Drosophila melanogaster: one gene and its partners. Changing the gene in region 3 together with the main gene of any one other region gives a genetic interaction. Each region holds a gene or a part of one and is shown on either strand. Other genes may lie near its edges.

Region 1 (5,519 bases), about 23 Mb from region 3:
AGTCCCAAATTCGAGATTAACTGGAAAGAGATTTCGTCTGGTTTCATGGCCTTAGTTTGGCCAACTCTCTTCGACTTTTATCATGAGATTTTTTCTTTTTTTGATGTGTAACACCACGAATGAAGACATTACCAACGAACAGCAGGTGGAAAAAACGAACTGTGAAAACTTGGCCCCTCGCAATGGCATCCGAAAAATTCATTTTTCGCGTTTTTATATAATGTGGATATGGCTTTTCGCTAATTTCGAATTTAATTTCGAGTTTCTATGTAGATTGTACTCATAATTAAGCCAATTACTATTGAACAACTTTCGCTGCTCTTCGTCTGCGCTATCGCATTGCATGCGATTGGGTAAATCAAATCACACAAGTATCAGGTTTACCAGGTCCCATTCCAACGATGCAAGGAAGTGGGTGCTTAGGTCTGTGGCCATTTGGTAGCTAGATAATTGGCTATCAGTGGAAGACCCATTGGTAGTATGCAACTTTGGAATTTTTTACAACACTTCTAGTCTTCTTTTCTTTTGCTTAATTTATATTTCTTAATTTTTAATTCTTAATTCCTAATGCTTTAGTATTCATATGTTGTGCATTTTATGCAAAAGACACTACTTGTAGTTTCCGTTTTCTTGCAGCGTTCTTTTCCTTTGCATACATTGAGAAATGCTCCATTCAAAAACTGTGAGCATAAACTGAAGTTGCATTGTTATTATTATTATCTTTTTATGTTCGCCTGTATTTTATTAGCATTAGCATTAGCGGCTTCTCAATGACGGTGCGATAAGCCCCAGACAAAATATATGTATGTATAAACAAAGGGAGACAATGCAACTTTGGCCGTGTTTGTGCAACACCAAAAAAAGCGCATTTCTGCATTATTCTCTGATGTTTGCACGTTAATGTATGCAACCACAAGAGCAGCCCCAATAACATAGAAACTGTGTGCACATTTGATACTTTTTGACGTCTGCGAGCAGAGAGTTGAGAGTTGAGTTGGATATGATTTGATTTGATTAGATTTGAGTTCTTCAGACACACATTTCCTTTTTAATGACGGTTGGCCAACTTGCTGCCATTGATGTGTGATGACGGTTTCTGGGCGCGTCTCGCATCCCAAGTGGAGAATTGATATTTGCATCGATGGCATTTGATGGCGGTGGATCAGTCAGTGATCGGTGGATTTATGAATTTGGGAGCAGCTCCGCAGATAAGGCCTTCGGAATGGCGGTTATTTGGGTTTGCTAATAGATATTGGAATTTCATGAATCTTTCTAGTTTTATTTAATATTTCGGGTATCGCAGTAAAAATAACTTTTATGTAGTTATATATACATATATCGTACTTTCCTCTATAGAAACCGATTTGACCTCGACTAGTTTTTGGGTTTTAATAGCGTCGGCGTACTTATCTTATCTCTAGTTTTACTTATCCCAAAGTAATTGGTTAAATATTATTAGAACACCAAACATTTAGGGATTATAGTAATTATTTCACATAATATAATATAATATAGTACTAATGCTATCCTTATACTAATCATTTTTATCACTCACGAGTGTTCAATGTACCCTACAATAGGGGTGATAAGGTATCACCTTATCACTTATCATTTCACTCTTTCGAAGTAGCATAGAATTTCTTTATTTAATCATATTTACGAAAGCTGTAAATGGGATTAATCTCTTAGTGCCGCTGTGACCCCAAGCATCCCTGACTCATGAACACTCTGGATCTACGAGTATGGAGATGCAGGGCCGCTAATACGAATCTACGCTTGTGCTCTTTCAAAAAGTCAGACAAAGAAGTCGAGGAAGAAAGAAACCGAAGGTAGGCGTAATCGGAACGATGAATGCCAACTCGGCTTGGCCTGGGTTTTTCAATGGGATTGAGTTTTTCGCCATCCAATTGGACAGTCCAAATAGATCGCGCTGAGTTCACTTGTCAAGGAATCGACTATTGCAGTTGCCTTGCCAAATTGAAAAAAAAAAACTCCGTCTTTGAGTCTTGTGTATGCATCATGGTCGTCTTGTTTCGAATCCAACGACTTCTAGAGAGGGCCTTTCGCTCACTACACCCACACTGGCAGACAGCAACAGCCTAGACACACCTGAGTGTGGGTGAGAGCGAGCATTCAACCACGGGGTAATGGTAATGGGTATTATGTATTACGTGCACGGTCTCACCTGTTGCGCTCAGCTGACGCGCGAGAAGGAGCCAGCCAGATGAGAGCCAACTAAGAGTTGGCCGGAGAGCAACAGCAAACCAGTTACATGTTGGCAGCCTGCAGATGCAGACCGTGGTGAGTTGGCAACGCTACCAGCCAAGATCCGTGCCGCCGGAGAGATCAGTTGGTGGTCGTGCTTGAGACGGAGCGGTTGGCCGAGTGCGATCGCATTACTTTGCGAACGATTTATATATACATATAAACCGCGCTGCCCACAAACGTGGCCAGATAAGAGGAGATATATACCAATACCTATACCTATTTCTCGCCGGGTTGGTGCTAATCTTCGTTTTAAGCGTGCCTGCGTGTGTGTGCGGTTGTGATTTATGCAAATCTTTGCTTTCTTATTAAACAAACACAAGATCTGGTAGTGAAATAAACGGCCCAGCAGAAGAAAAGAGAACCACGACCGAAAACATTCCATTGGAAATACCGAAAACACGTTTTCTCCCTCCAGCTCCGAATCGCTTGTTCGCTGTTTGCTTTCTGCCATTTGCCATTTCTACAAAAAAGGAGTGAGAGTGAAATGTGAAATGCGAAATGTCAGTGCAAATAGCTATCAACTTTTACAATGACATCACTAGATGTTAGCCAAAAGAAATATTAACAATTGCCAGCAGATATGGAATAAATAGAACCGCACGCTGTCTAATTGCCTTCGTACCAATATGGCCAAAAAGGCGTGCAGCAAATTCTGCGGTCTGCAGCCGTTTTCAGTTGCAGTTTCTGCTGCTGCCGTTGGAACCGGTTGAAATATTTTGCTATCGCAATTTGGGTCTAGGGTTTTTTGTTGCTGGCGTTGCATTGTAGCGAGTTGCATGAGCATCGACTGCCTTGCATATAAACAGTATATCTTTTTTTAGAGCCCAATTGGCAGCCTTTGTTTTTGGCAAGCTGGTTTATTTGCCTAGTTTCTGATTTGAATGGTGAGAAGTAAACATTGTGCTGGCGGCGTAGTCTTAAAAAAATGAAAGATATTTATGAGCTGCTCTAGGCTTAGGTACAGAAGTTGTAAATCTAAATGAAATATGCTAAATAGGGTTTACGTATCGTAAATCTACATAGGTTTTCAAAAATTCGGACACATTCAAAACTATGCGAAACTTTATAAAACAAAAGACTTGGGAAACGAACTTGCGTGAGTGGCATCGAAGATGTTTACGCTTTCACACTTAAATTGGTCATTACATAAATGTGTGACATAGGAAATGCTTTAGATATGCGGCGTATTTGGAAAAATTAGCTAATACTTTTATTTCGTAGCTTAATTAACTCACATATTATTTTTGATTGATTGAGTCAAGAGTAAGCCACCCCTATTTTCAAGCTAACAACTTTCCAATTTCCGCGTAGGGCGACCTAACAAATCACTCAACAAATCGGCTGGCAAAATATAGACTTGAGTTGACACTTGAGAGATCGTTATTCAACCGACTTTCAACGGAAATGACAGCATTTGGGGTTACCAAAGCGAGTCAATGACAAATAACAGAAACCGCTGCCACAGATGTCGTGTGAACTAAAATAACCGCATAAGAAAATCCCGCACCCCAAAAGAGAAAACTAAATAATAACTAGTGAACAAAAGTAGGTAATGAGTTATCGAGACCCTTCGAAACGTTTAAAAGTGCATGTAATTTATTTAATTCCATATTTATAGCAGATTACTATAAATTAACAATAACAAGTGCAAACGTGTGAGAAAAATCAAAGAGGAAAAGCCAAAAAGACGGAGCACAAACATAAACCAAAATGCAAACGTGTAGAAGAAGAAAAGCCTCCGGCGGCCAATCCACGATCAAGTGGAGTAGAATGTGCCTGGCCACTCTCTGCGGATTACTTTTGCTTGGCATTCAAATTGAGCGTGCGGCGTCTGCGCCCGCAGGCGAAGACGCAGCGGCCACAACGATGCCACCTTTGGATACCACAACAGATGCCCCAGACGCCGTTGCAGCCACCACCACTCCAGCCACAACTGCCGCAGAACAAAGCAGCAGCATCAGCAGCATAACCACCGAGGCGGCGGATGGTTCAACGACTTCCACGACGACAACAACTGAGGCGGCCAACAAATCCAATGCGACCGAAACTGGTGAGTCCAAGCCGAAAGCCATGAAAATTATAGATAGACGGCATCTACGCGACGACGCTCGCATAGCTGGGGCATCTCATCCCGATCTCCGGCCAGACACTTTAATCCCGCCTAGCCGCGCTGTGCTCTCTGCGCCGTAATCAAATCTCGTTCTCTGAGCCACCAATTAACGCCGTGCCGGTGCGTGACTTCTGGTCCGCCCTTTTTTTTACCCATTTCGTTTCGATTTGTACGGCATTTCTCCATAATTATTTTCCGATTCGGTTAAATGGAGCGAACAAGAGAAATTGTTTGACTATTAATGGATGGAAGAATATTTGAAGATATACATAAGCGGTTTCCTGTTGAATTACTTAGTTAATTACGCGGCATATTAAAGGGAAAATATTAAAATTTCCGGCCCTCAAGCTCAATCTCGGAAACCAATTATACGAGAAATTATTATTCGTGCTAGAACAAGTGAATGAACTTAATTAAATCTTAATATATTCTACTCGTACTACACCCAAGATACTCAAGATAAATTGAATTATACTTCTATTTCGATACAATTGATACTTAATATAAAATAAAAAATAATAAATCAGATTAGATTTTTTTTTTTTTTTTTGTAATTCTGTTGAATGAACACATTCACATTTAGGTTATTAGGATAACTGGAGAAATTCGTTTAACCAGATCACCTGAGATGGAATGATTAACTTTCACACACGTACCTTTTGCAAAATAGATTAATCGGGCAATTCCATTGCCGAGTTCTTGGCTGTAACAGATTTATAATTATCTAGAAGGTTGTTTGGGCTTAATGTCAGTTGCACACCAAACTCTTCACGAGGCAAGCACTCCGTCGTAAAAACTTCAATTGGTTTTTCATTGTTTTGATACTATTCCATCTAGATTCATTGATGACTCGATAAAACGAGGTCTAGCAGGCCACACACAGGTCTAGATCGATTGAGCATAGGTTGTTGCCATGGCAAGTGGGAATGCATTGTTTAAAAGGGACTGGCCTTTTTTAGCCGGTCTAAATGCCACGGGAAGTTAATGAGATTTAACAGCAAACATTGGGATGGTGGTAAGGTAAGCCTTCACAAATTACTCAATTTAAATGCAAAGCAGCCAACTGTCATGACTCATGCCCTTAACCTACGTAGTCCGTACCATAATCTTGGAGTTAACTTTGTTAAATTTTGGGTGTTAA
Region 2 (5,821 bases), about 14 Mb from region 3:
TGAGCTCTCAATAATTCCGCAGGCCTGCCGATTGGATTGGATCTCGGGTCCGAACGGATCGCTGGAATGGCTGTTTCGGGTTTTCGCAAGCTTTCGATCATTCAATCAGGATCAATATTTATCAATCAAGTGTGTGGGTGAGCGCAAAAAAAAAGCGACTGAATGGAACTATCAGAGCAGAGCATAAACATATAGAAATGCCGAACCAGCTCACGCATTAGACATGCTCACCCATTATTATACATACATACGGACAGACATACGGACAGACGCAATTGACTAAGAGGCCTGCGCGTGTTGGACGCACGGACGGATAAACAGACAGTCAGTCTGACATCGAACATCTGAAGACTTCGAATTCGATAGTGATCCGTAGTCTAGGGCTCTTCACAGCCTCTCGCTTATTGATCTTCGATCCACACGAAGGCCGCCAGCGTGCAGATCGAAGTTGCACAAATGCCAGGACAAGGGGTCTGGATTGGGTATCCACCTGAAAGTGATTCTCTATCCAAATCCAAGTTGGGGCCAGTCCATCTATGCTGTTGCCATATAAGCATCAACAGCTAAACAAAAGTTTATGGCTATCTGCCCGCCTTATGATCTAAATGCGTTAATTATTAGGATGATACAATGCGATCGGAGCAGATAGCATAGATACAAAAATGGATAGACAGATAGATACATTGTGGTCAGCGGTCTCCAGTGGCTCGATCATTAGCATCTGAAAACCAGCGGCGCCTCTTTGAGCAATATTTCCTAATTTAGAACGTATGCTTTCCTACAGATCAGTATGCGATTTGCTAGACTGAGCAATTTATTAGTGACTTGGGGAGAGACTCCAGCTAGGAGTCGTTTATTTTGTTTAGTGGCTGTGTAAACATTGCTTACAGGGCATGATGATTAGTTCGGTGTAATACAAACAGCCTTCTTGGGGAACTCACTTGCCCCCTCCAGACTTTTAGGGCTATTTTGTAAGATGTTCTGTTATGGCTGCTGTTTTATGTTGGCATCATTTGGATGCCGGCTGTTTGTTGTTGATTACAAAACAAGCGTTTTGTTGCCGATTGCATGGTTGCATGGAGAACGCTCTTCCTGGAATCTTTTGAGATGTTTTTCATTAGTCCACCATTCTCGCAACATCCGTAGTATATGAATATGCATCATCGTATTTTGGAATATTTTTAAATTTTCGCCGACCTCCACGGCGGCGAAATGGATTTTTAATTTCCAACTATACTTTAATTTGGCAAACGAGCTCTGGTCTTTTAATTGATTAATTCTTATTGCTGCGTTTGATTAAAGAAAATATTTAGTATACAATAGGGTCAATTGCTACATATGGTAATTTGGCACAGAAGACATTTATGTGGAAGAGTTCTCGGCGTTCAAATAATGGAGCGAATGGCTACTATTTTTATTCACTGACGCGATCAGTAGATTGATCTTGACCCACATTGGATGGGCTGGGATCCGGCAGATGTCGCACACTCTATGCCCAAATGAGACAATATAAAGTATAAAGTATAAAGTATTGTTTATAATGATACCAATTTGAGACAAATCAGTTACACTTGCCTATCTAAACTATTACGATATGTTTGTTCAGCTTGTGTAGATTATTTAGATATATCTTTATATTTGTCGCATTTCTGAGTAAAGGCTGTCGTGTCAGTTTATTTACGTCAAAAAAAGAATTTTTTTTGATACTGATGAGCTAGTCATCATTGTACCATTCTCTGTGATCATCAACTTCCTTTTTTTCTTCCGAAATGACTTCTTCCGGAAGTGCACCACTGGTAATGCCCAGGGTCTTATCCTCTATTTCAAAAGAATTCGTATTCAAAGTTTTTAGTACTGCTCGGTGCGATTAGTAATGCATAGGCTAGTAAAATAAGTCATAAGTAAAAAGAGTTTTATTATTTACTCAAGTACATACTTACTCAAATTGGTTGGTATCACACAAGTGTGAACATGTTTACAAATTTTGATTACTTTTAAAAACTATTACTGAATAAAGCATGCAGCATAAGCCTATTTTTTTTTTTTTTAATATTTATATTATTTCATCCGAAAAGGCAGATACTCTAGATGCAAAGATTGTTACTATGCTAACACACCTTATCTTATCCGATGATAATTATGTCCACACACTTAATCCTCACATGTGCAAAAATATTGAGTAAGCAGAGGCGCACTTAAGAGAGCGTTCGAGTGCTCTTTTAAGCCGCGCTCGGCTCTCTTTTCGCCACAGCGCTCTCTGCGCAGAGAAGCCGGCTGTTCTGCGTACTGATATGATTCTGACGTATTTCTAATCTCTCTAAAACACTCCTTCGGAATCGAAATCCTAAGCCCATTCAGCAAACCCATATCCCTATACTCGTGCCTACATACGAGTATGTACATACATATGTACATATGTATGTATGTATGTTGTACAGCATATAGCTGCGAGAGAACCGCTTTTAGCTTTCGGAGCGATATATGTTCGCGATCTCAGATTGCTTGGCGGTACGGCGGAACGTCCGCTACCAACTGCTGTTCGGCGAGCAGTGTTCAGTCCGCAGCGGGAACTCAAGCGAGCCGAAACGAAACATCGCCAGATACAGATACAAATTCTCTGGTTCGCAGCATTGGTCTGGTCCATCGGCTCGTTCTCGTCCGTTTCATTTATTTGCGCGCGCGCGGTAGTATCAGACAATTGCTAAAGTTCCATTTGTAATATTAATCCAGTTGCGATTTCTAATTCGAATTTGAATACGTATTCATCCCAGTGCGCCAGTGTATTCCGTATCCTGACCAGCCATGTCGGCCAGATGGCGATAGCGATGCCGATGCCAAACGATCGGCGTGTTCTTGTGAACTCTGACATGGTGCTCAGTTGTGGGACAACCTTCGCCACCGAAAAGTTTGCAAAAATAGCCGCTGGCCGAAAGCGAAAAGAAAGCCAGCAACTCAGAATGCCAACGGTGGCCAAGTTAATGGTGCAGCTCGAAAGTGAATGCATTCGGCGCGATGTGTGAAGTTCAAGCTTAACATTGGCCAAAACCCAACCGCAACTGCGAATAAATTCTGTGATTCGGCAAAAAGATTCATCATGAGATCGTACAATGGCTCCAGTACTAAGTAGTTTATCTAGCTAATCGCAGCCATAAGTGTGAGTCGTTTTAATACCCACGAGCCGTAGTCTTTGCCTTTCTGTTCGTTCGTATTTTCGCATTTTTTGGCGGGTGCGGTGCCCACGGCAACGGAACGAGACTGTCGCATTTCAATTAACAAAATAAGCAAAAAGCCAAAGAGCCAAAGAGCCATAGAGCCAACATAAGTGTAAAGATACATATATCTACAAGATATACGTATAGCCGTATATACGCATACTGTGGATTTTGTTGCTCTTTCGCGCGCATTTTTGCACGTGCCATTTGGGATTTCGGATTTCTGAGATTGGAGATCGCTATCTTATCTGGTCATCGCCATGTCCATGCCGGATGCCGGTTCACTTAAATCGCCCGCCGGCGGCCAGGAGGTCGAGTGCCATCGCCTGCTGTCGGACCTGCCCGCCTTCGCGTATCCCAGCACCACACTGCGGTCCACAACTTCTGGTCACAGCACTGGCACGAATAGTACCACTGTCTGCGAATCTCCCGGTGCTCGGGATCGTACCTCCTTCGCGTGCTCCTCCTCTTGCGTATCATCCGCCTGCTCAGCCACCGCCTCCGATGACGACGAGGATGAGCGTGCCCTTGAGCGCTGTCTGCGTGGGACGACGGACGACCTTGGGGAGTCCGGCCTGCGGTATTCGCTGAAAGGACCACCGCCGGAGCTCTACTCGGCCAAGAAGGACTTCATCAGCAAGGGTCCGCTGCTGGGCAGACAGGTAGGTCCTAAATCCGAGCTCTACATAAGTATAAATATTTTTGGAGGCCTAGTCCGCCGCATCGAATTTCGTGGGCTGATCGAATTCGCAGACCGGGATTTTAACGATTTTTCATTTATTTGTGTTTGTATTCGTCTCTGTCTCTCTCTCTCTTTTTTTTCTACTTTATCGAAATCGGCTGGCCAAGCGAAAACCAAATTTAAGTTAATTTATTGCATTGATTCCACATCAATGTGTCGAGTTCTTTCCTTTCTTTTATAATTTCGGTTGATTTGCCGATATTTTGGTGTGCTCGTCTCGTTTTGTATGCCGCATTGTTTTATTTCGTTTCATTTCATTTCATTTCATTTTTTTTTTTGTTTTGTTGCTTTTGCCGCCACTCTGGCTCTCTATTCGATTTTGATTAAATACCACTGGCGACACAAAGAAAGCGACAACCAAAGCGTTGACCACCGCATTTGAATTCACACGCCTCACTGGCCACGAAGCACCGCGCACGCGGCAGCGGAAATGTGAATCTGGATCCCAAGTTGGATCCACGATAGGATTCTCGGCAACCTCACCGTTCGACAGCTTCAAACAGACTGAAGATGGCAACGTGTTCGAAGCACTTCGATCCAAATGCGCCAGAGCGCCTCCACGAAGTGCATTCATATATCAAGCAATCTGGTCATCAAACTATTCCTTTTGGTTTGGGTTTGCAGCTCCCACTTCTTTAGCTGACTCATAATCCATCCATTTGCGTCACACAGGGTCTGCTGATGTATGTCGGACGTGTGTTTCCGCCAGGTTGCCACTATCTTGCTCTAGCTCTGCAGCAACAATTTTCGGGAAAGCGAAAGATTCTGCAGCATCGGGAGCACATGTCCCACAGGAGATAAGAACATAAAAGATATCTAATAGAGATAAAGAACAAAGACGCCCCTGTCTGGATGTCACTGATATTCCATATTCCAGACAGGATTGGGTACGAACTTTTTTTTGCCCATTAGTGCGAGGCAGACGACGAATTAAGATGCAAATTTCGATAAACATTTTCAAGTTCGGTTTAAGGAAATGGTATTGCAGTTACACACGACCTGGGTGGAAACAGCACATAACTACGATTTACAGAGCTCAACAAGGTGTGAAAAGCGTTTGTTTCGGGACGTGACAACAACGTGAATGGAAACATGCCTAAATCACGGCTTACTGGCTAACTGGCAAGCTGGCTAACTGGCTAACTGGCTAGCTGGCTTACAGGCCATTAGAATTTTATCAACGTCCGCCTGGCGGGCAATGTAAAATGTGAAAAACGACACGATCCCCCGGTCCATGAATACATAATAATGCATAATAATGTTGGGTGCGCGAGTGGTGAAGTCTGTAGGCCCAACTGCCACTGATAACGGGCCATGTGTGGCAACGTAACCCCCTCGGGATCGAATGGGAATAGGATGTACTGTCTATTTGGGTTGTATGTATAAACTCGTATGCACATCGCTTGGCATTTTAGAAGCACATGAGTAATTGTGACATATTCAGTGCGGTGCGACTCGATTCACTCGCTGTTGTGAATGTTTCGAAAATAGATTTTCTAGTTTTTCGCGTGGCGCCTAGAATCTGAGAAGTCGGGAAATACATGCATGTAAGTAAGGCTGCGCCGTCCAATTTGTATTTCGACAATAAAATTTTCACAATGTGTAGAATTTGAATATTTATTTTCTTGCTTTTTGTTTCTGTTTCGCGTTTTGTCTTTTTTTTTTATTTATTTATTTAGTTTTTTTTTTTGAGTCGTACGTCGTCGCTTTGCGCGTGTTTCTCTGTTCTCTTTTTTCAATTTATTTCGTCTACTTTAAATAAAAACAAAAAAATATGCTAGTTTCGGAAAACCGAAACTTATACACCCTTGCAGTAATTATTTGCAGAGTTTGAACAAATTAAAATCGAATGTCAAATCACAAATTT
Region 3 (5,417 bases):
CGCTTTTTGCGCTGATAACGTAATATTTTTTAAAGCCAGCAGGTTGCATGTTTTTTTACTCGTTCACTGACTTGTTGCGCTTTTCCCACTTAACTTTTCTTCAAAGAAGTTAAGCCAGGAGCCAATAAAATCTAGTCTGCAACTGTCTGTTGGTAATATGGCTGAAATAAAGCATTTTCGAAACGATATTTGCTATGCACCACAATTTATTTTGCCTATGCTGCACCTGTCGTTTGTGCAATCGAAAATTCTCAGGAAGGCAAAAATGATTTTAAACTGGCTCAACCAGCAATTCGAGCTTTTGCGCATGGTCAATGCGAAACCTTACAGTTTTGGCTGACACATTTCGCTTGATACCTTCATATCCGGTACTCATGGAGCATATCAGCATATAGCTTGCTACTACCAAAAACATTTTGCAGAATCACAAGCAAATCTGTCTTGGCTACAACTCCAGTAGCAGCGTGTAACTTTGGGTCACTGAACTACACTTTTGTTAAATGTCAGCATAAATGGCTAAAATGAAATACACCTTACAAGCTCCTCCTAACCAACTTGTTCATAATCCAAAAACTTCCTGTTAGAGTAGCGAATTCAAACAGTTGGCACTTTGTTTTTTCGAACTTGACATATGTAAGCCGATCGGCAAATTATCGCGAAAATGGGCCATTCGAATCGTAAAAGTGATGACCAAGCCGGAAGAGCACAGACATTATGGTAATCCAAGAACCCCCAATAAATGTAGCAAGAAACTGCCTCTTTATAATAACGAAAGAAGCTAAGCCTTAATTAAATCCCAACCCAGTGGGATGCGGATTTGGCCAGGTGAGGAGCTAACAGCCAACTGGCTTGTTAGCAAACAGTAAAACGAGCTAATGACGTACATCTGCTGAAAACCCTTGCACTTTCTCCTCCAGCCAGTTGTGATGAAGATGGCAGACTCCCATGCGTTTAGCACCATGAAGATACTCCGCTAATAGCCATTTAGCACATGGCTTAATCTTACCGTACAGTTTGTGTGCCATATGAATATGCTATGTTTGCTATAATTAGGTGCTTTGACATTTCGAGAAACAAGATCTGCGCAAATTATCATATTTGGCTGATCCCATCGATCTGAGCAGCTTTCAATGCCAATATAACGATATTGGCTCAATTGTTCTGGCAGCATCCGGCTGGAAATGGAAATGGTGGTATTCGATGGTGGTGTTCGATGGAAACACCTACCCATGATGGCAATGCCAATTTCGCGGATTGCCAGCCAGCCGGGTGCAACTGTCTCATTGTCCCAGTACAATGGCAACGGAATATGCATATGCGACGACTCCCTGCCCGCCTGACAGGTACAAAAATGCTGTCTGCCCCTTTGGTGAACTTCATTCATGCCCCGGATCGCAGCTCGGATTGCATTGCATTGCAGTGGATTGCAGTGGATTGCAGTGGAGTGGAGTGAGCGGCCAAAATCGCGGCAACATCGACTAAAACATTTTAATAAAAACTTACACAGCAACGGCTGCAGTGCAGCTGAAACAGAAAAGCAAACACAAAGCGAGCGACAAGCCGAGCCGAAGCCCCAAAACTGGTTCCTGGCCTGGCTGGCTAACTCTAAGCCCGATCCACGGCTCCAACTCCTATGAAAATGCAACATGGTGGTCTCTTACATATTTACCTTTGACTTAACAGACGCTGTTAGCCGCTCGAGATTCTCTGTCCGCGCAGCATACACATATACATATGTACATAGCTGTGTATGTACATGCACCTGCAGATCGTGGATCGCAGTACCTGTGCTCCACAGCCGAAGCCTTTCGCATGTGTGTGTGTGTGTGTGTGTGTGTGTTTGAGTATGGTGTGGTATCCATCAGCTGGCAAACGAGTAACCCCCGAAAAACCAGTTTTACCGCAAAGCGAGCGAATGCCAGCTCAATTCCAATACGTTCCACCTTGGATCGGGTAGCGCCCACTTGTTGCCGCTGCTGCGCGAGACAGGTAAAGCGAAACAGTACCGATCCAACCGCCGAGCCGACACCACGTACCACGTACTTTCGCGCAGTGTAGCACGACGAGTATGAGCTTGTGCCCCAACGCAGCGCTATTGCTATAAGGTGGCTGGCGCGATACCGGTTTTCGAGCTGGTATGAATATGCCCAAGAGCTAATTTTTTAAGAGTTATCTCTCAAGAAAATGTGTAAAGTTCAGAATGGTCCGTTTGTGGCGACGTGTGATGTGTGGATGTGTGAGGTGTGTCCGGTGGATCCAAGGCAACCTAAAGCTGTAGCCATAGAAGCCTGAAAAGGGCATACCACGCAGATATCTCGAAATAGCGCTCCGTTTAAATAACAAAGAAGCCCCGAGAGGCAAACAAAGCCTTCACGCCATCATTAAATCTAAAAATCATACCTTTGTACACACCACTTTAACCCCCGAGAGCAAGACTTTCTCTTGCCAATTTTTCAGTTTTTTTGTTTACCCAACACAACTCACAGTGGAGTGAAAACAGAAAACAAACGAAACCATCATCGTTTTGCCGAATATCAAAGGATAGAACACTAATGTGGAATGTGAACGTGATCGCCGTATTAAGCAAATCGCATTTATCGACCGGGATTTCTGCGGCATTTGCCAAGAACCAAGAAACAAGCAATAAAACAGCCAAAAAAAACAAAAAAAAAACGGCAAATGAGGTCACGTATGTCGAGATTTGTGTAAGAAACTTACACAGTCGTGTTCACTGTACAGGCATACGTAGATAGTCATCGACTTGCCATGCTACTTTTACTACATGCTACCAAACTCCCACGCGCCGCTTTGTTCGCCAGCTTTTCGCGAAACATTATGGCTTATAATTAATCCAAGAGGGCAACCTCCAAACAGTAATTAAAATTCACTTCAGTGCGGCAAAACTCACTTCCAAGCCGGTGATCCGGTGATCATCAACTTCGAAATGATCAACTTCGGATTCAATATGAATTTTATGACAGAGAAATACATAAAATAAGTATTACAACACCTTCAAATTTGTGTCGCGAGTGTTTTTAATCGAGTTTAACCCTGTTTTTTAATGCGCAGATACAACATCTATTGAATAATATAGTAAATCGAAATGTAATTGAGGACCAAGAATAACCTTTGTTAACGGCGTGTGACTCCATTTTTCACGTTGGATACTCAGCTGAAATACTTTGAGCTGCTTTAATATTTAATCTTTAGACCAAACGGTAAGTGCGGAGTATTATTAGTATTATTATTATTAAATTATTCAGCATCCAAAGGCGGGGAGAAGCAAAATGATGAAATAATGTTCTTTTCTCCGGGCGGCGGAGATTAATCTTCATTTGGCTAAATGGCTAGAAGCCATTTATAAAGCAGAAAACATAATCACCTAACCGTTTTTTCTTCAGCGGAAAGTCAGGTCGATTAATTTTATTGTCACCCAAGAATTTGCAGTTCAATGTCTTTGGCCATCATCTAAATTCAAAGATTTGTTTTTAATTATTCTAAACTCAACTTATTTTGGCCAATTAAGACAATCATAATGGTAGAATGTTTATGTTACTCAGCAGTTGCTTAAGTTTCGTTAGACGTGTTCTCGATAAAAAGGCGAATCATTAAAATTAATCATCAGGAAAAATGATTCTCAGCAAATTGGCTCTAAGATACTTGTCGAGTTCATTAGAACGATTAGAATGTTAAAGCACTTTGAGTCATTAAACTCGACAAATGGCCATTTTGAAGACGATCATATATTTACTCCCACAGGAGTCATAAATATATGGACAGCCAAAATGAATGGCATAGATTGAGATACTTTATATGCTGATAGAATTCGATATATATTATGAAACATCTCACGGATCCGTGAGGAGAAATACTTTGTATGGCCAAGAGCGCGTCCTCTGTCCAATAAAATTAAAATACAATAAAACACTCAGCGAATTAGCATAACAATCGCAGTTGGAGCTGACAGAACGATGGTGTATACATGAATGTATGTATCCAGGTGATCCAAGTGATCCGAGTGATCATCCAGGGGAGCCGAGTGGCCAGGTGGACCAGGGTATGCCGCCATTCGGTGCCCAAATGCTGGCGTTCCTTTCTTGTTTATTTAAGATTTGTGTGGCAACCATCGTTCGCATTCCAGCAGATTTGAGATTTAAGTTCGCTACGTATTGTACCACATTCAAAACTAGAAAATGTTGGCAAAAACAGCATCAATAAGCAACAGGTTTGCCGCATATCGAATCTGCACCCAGCAGCACACAACACACACAACACACACAACACACACAACACACACAGTACACAGGCATTCAAAGCGATACCTCGGCTTTCGTTTATTTTGCAAACCAGTTTGGCACATTCGGCTTTTTCTATAAGTTTCCGGTTGAACATAATCAGCAACTGACTTTCTGTGGTGGCCACCGCCGAACTCCTCCTCTGGCTGCTCCTGCTCCTCCTGCTCCTTCTCCGATCTCCTCCAGCTTCGCGCCTTTGTTTATGCGGGGGAAATGGAAAATGGCATTTTGTGTACCGTCCAGTGAAAGCGGAGGACTTGCAGCGCTTTTCGCGATTTTCCCGATTTTCTCGATTTCCTCGCAAATGGAAGCAGGAACGGCACGACGGAGCATTTAAGCCCCCATATCAATACCATGTGATATCTCGCACTTAAGTTACGCAATGGGCGATCGGGGCTTTTATGATTTCGGAGATAATTTCAGCAGCAGTTGCGTTTGCAGACAAGTTTGATTCCACTCGCGATTGCAGCACACTTTGGCGAAATTAAATAAATCGTTGGGAAATCATGGGTATTTTGATTGGTTTATTTGGCTAATTGCGTAAATCGAATTGCAATTGGCCATCGAAGACAATAGTTGTCAGTGGCGGCTAAGGATAAGAGATCCATCAGCTTGGATTTTAATTGTCAGCCAATAGTTGAAATTCAATAATTCGCTTTGTTCATTAGAGCGCGCACTTTATTCCCCTATTTTATGAGTTTCGGTTAACCAGCACAACGGAACCCGGCTGCTCTGGACAGTGCTATCTATATCCAATGGATGCGATCGAGGAGGGAGCGCGAAAACCAGAAGATTAACTCCGATCCGTTTCATTAAACAAACGATCCGAGTAACGGATACGATGCAAGTGGCTCCTGGTGCCAACGAGTCTTCAATGGAGATCGCAGATGGAGCAGAAAGTCAGAAAGCTAGAAAGCCAACGGATGTGCAGAAACCTAAGCCGCAGCATGGGATGGCCAACTCCCAGCACCCAGCTCCCAACTCCCAAGCTCTTGGTTCTAACTGTATGCCAGCCGTAGCCGCAAAAGTTGATCGGCCAGTTGGCGAGCTGGCCATTTAGGCGCTCGATGAGATGAGGTGGGCAAAATGGGCAAAATAAGTGAAATGGGAGAAAGACGATAG

What was found. A genetic interaction does not mean that the proteins touch.
Region 1: of Cad99C (region 3) and sas, changing one suppresses a phenotype caused by changing the other (phenotypic suppression), as found in Drosophila melanogaster (one study listed by BioGRID).
Region 2: of Cad99C (region 3) and AdamTS-A, changing one suppresses a phenotype caused by changing the other (phenotypic suppression), as found in Drosophila melanogaster (one study listed by BioGRID).

The regions. Positions count from the first base shown.
Region 1 is NT_033777.3:7,160,543-7,166,061, forward strand, and holds the start of sas (stranded at second), read left to right. Parts: upstream 1-2,265; 5' UTR 2,266-2,498; intron 2,499-3,579; 5' UTR 3,580-3,817; intron 3,818-3,886; 5' UTR 3,887-3,978; coding exon 3,979-4,318; intron 4,319-5,519.
Region 2 is NT_033777.3:15,472,940-15,478,760, reverse strand, and holds the start of AdamTS-A (ADAM metallopeptidase with thrombospondin type 1 motif A), read left to right. Parts: upstream 1-2,567; 5' UTR 2,568-3,472; coding exon 3,473-3,874; intron 3,875-5,821.
Region 3 is NT_033777.3:29,839,656-29,845,072, forward strand, and holds the start of Cad99C (cadherin 99C), read left to right. Parts: upstream 1-2,001; 5' UTR 2,002-2,135; intron 2,136-3,069; exon of another isoform or gene 3,070-3,218; intron 3,219-5,417. UniProt on the Drosophila melanogaster protein: Cadherin that functions in epithelial morphogenesis and the intestine epithelial immune response. Essential for female fertility. Regulates the length and organization of apical microvilli in developing follicle cells and salivary glands.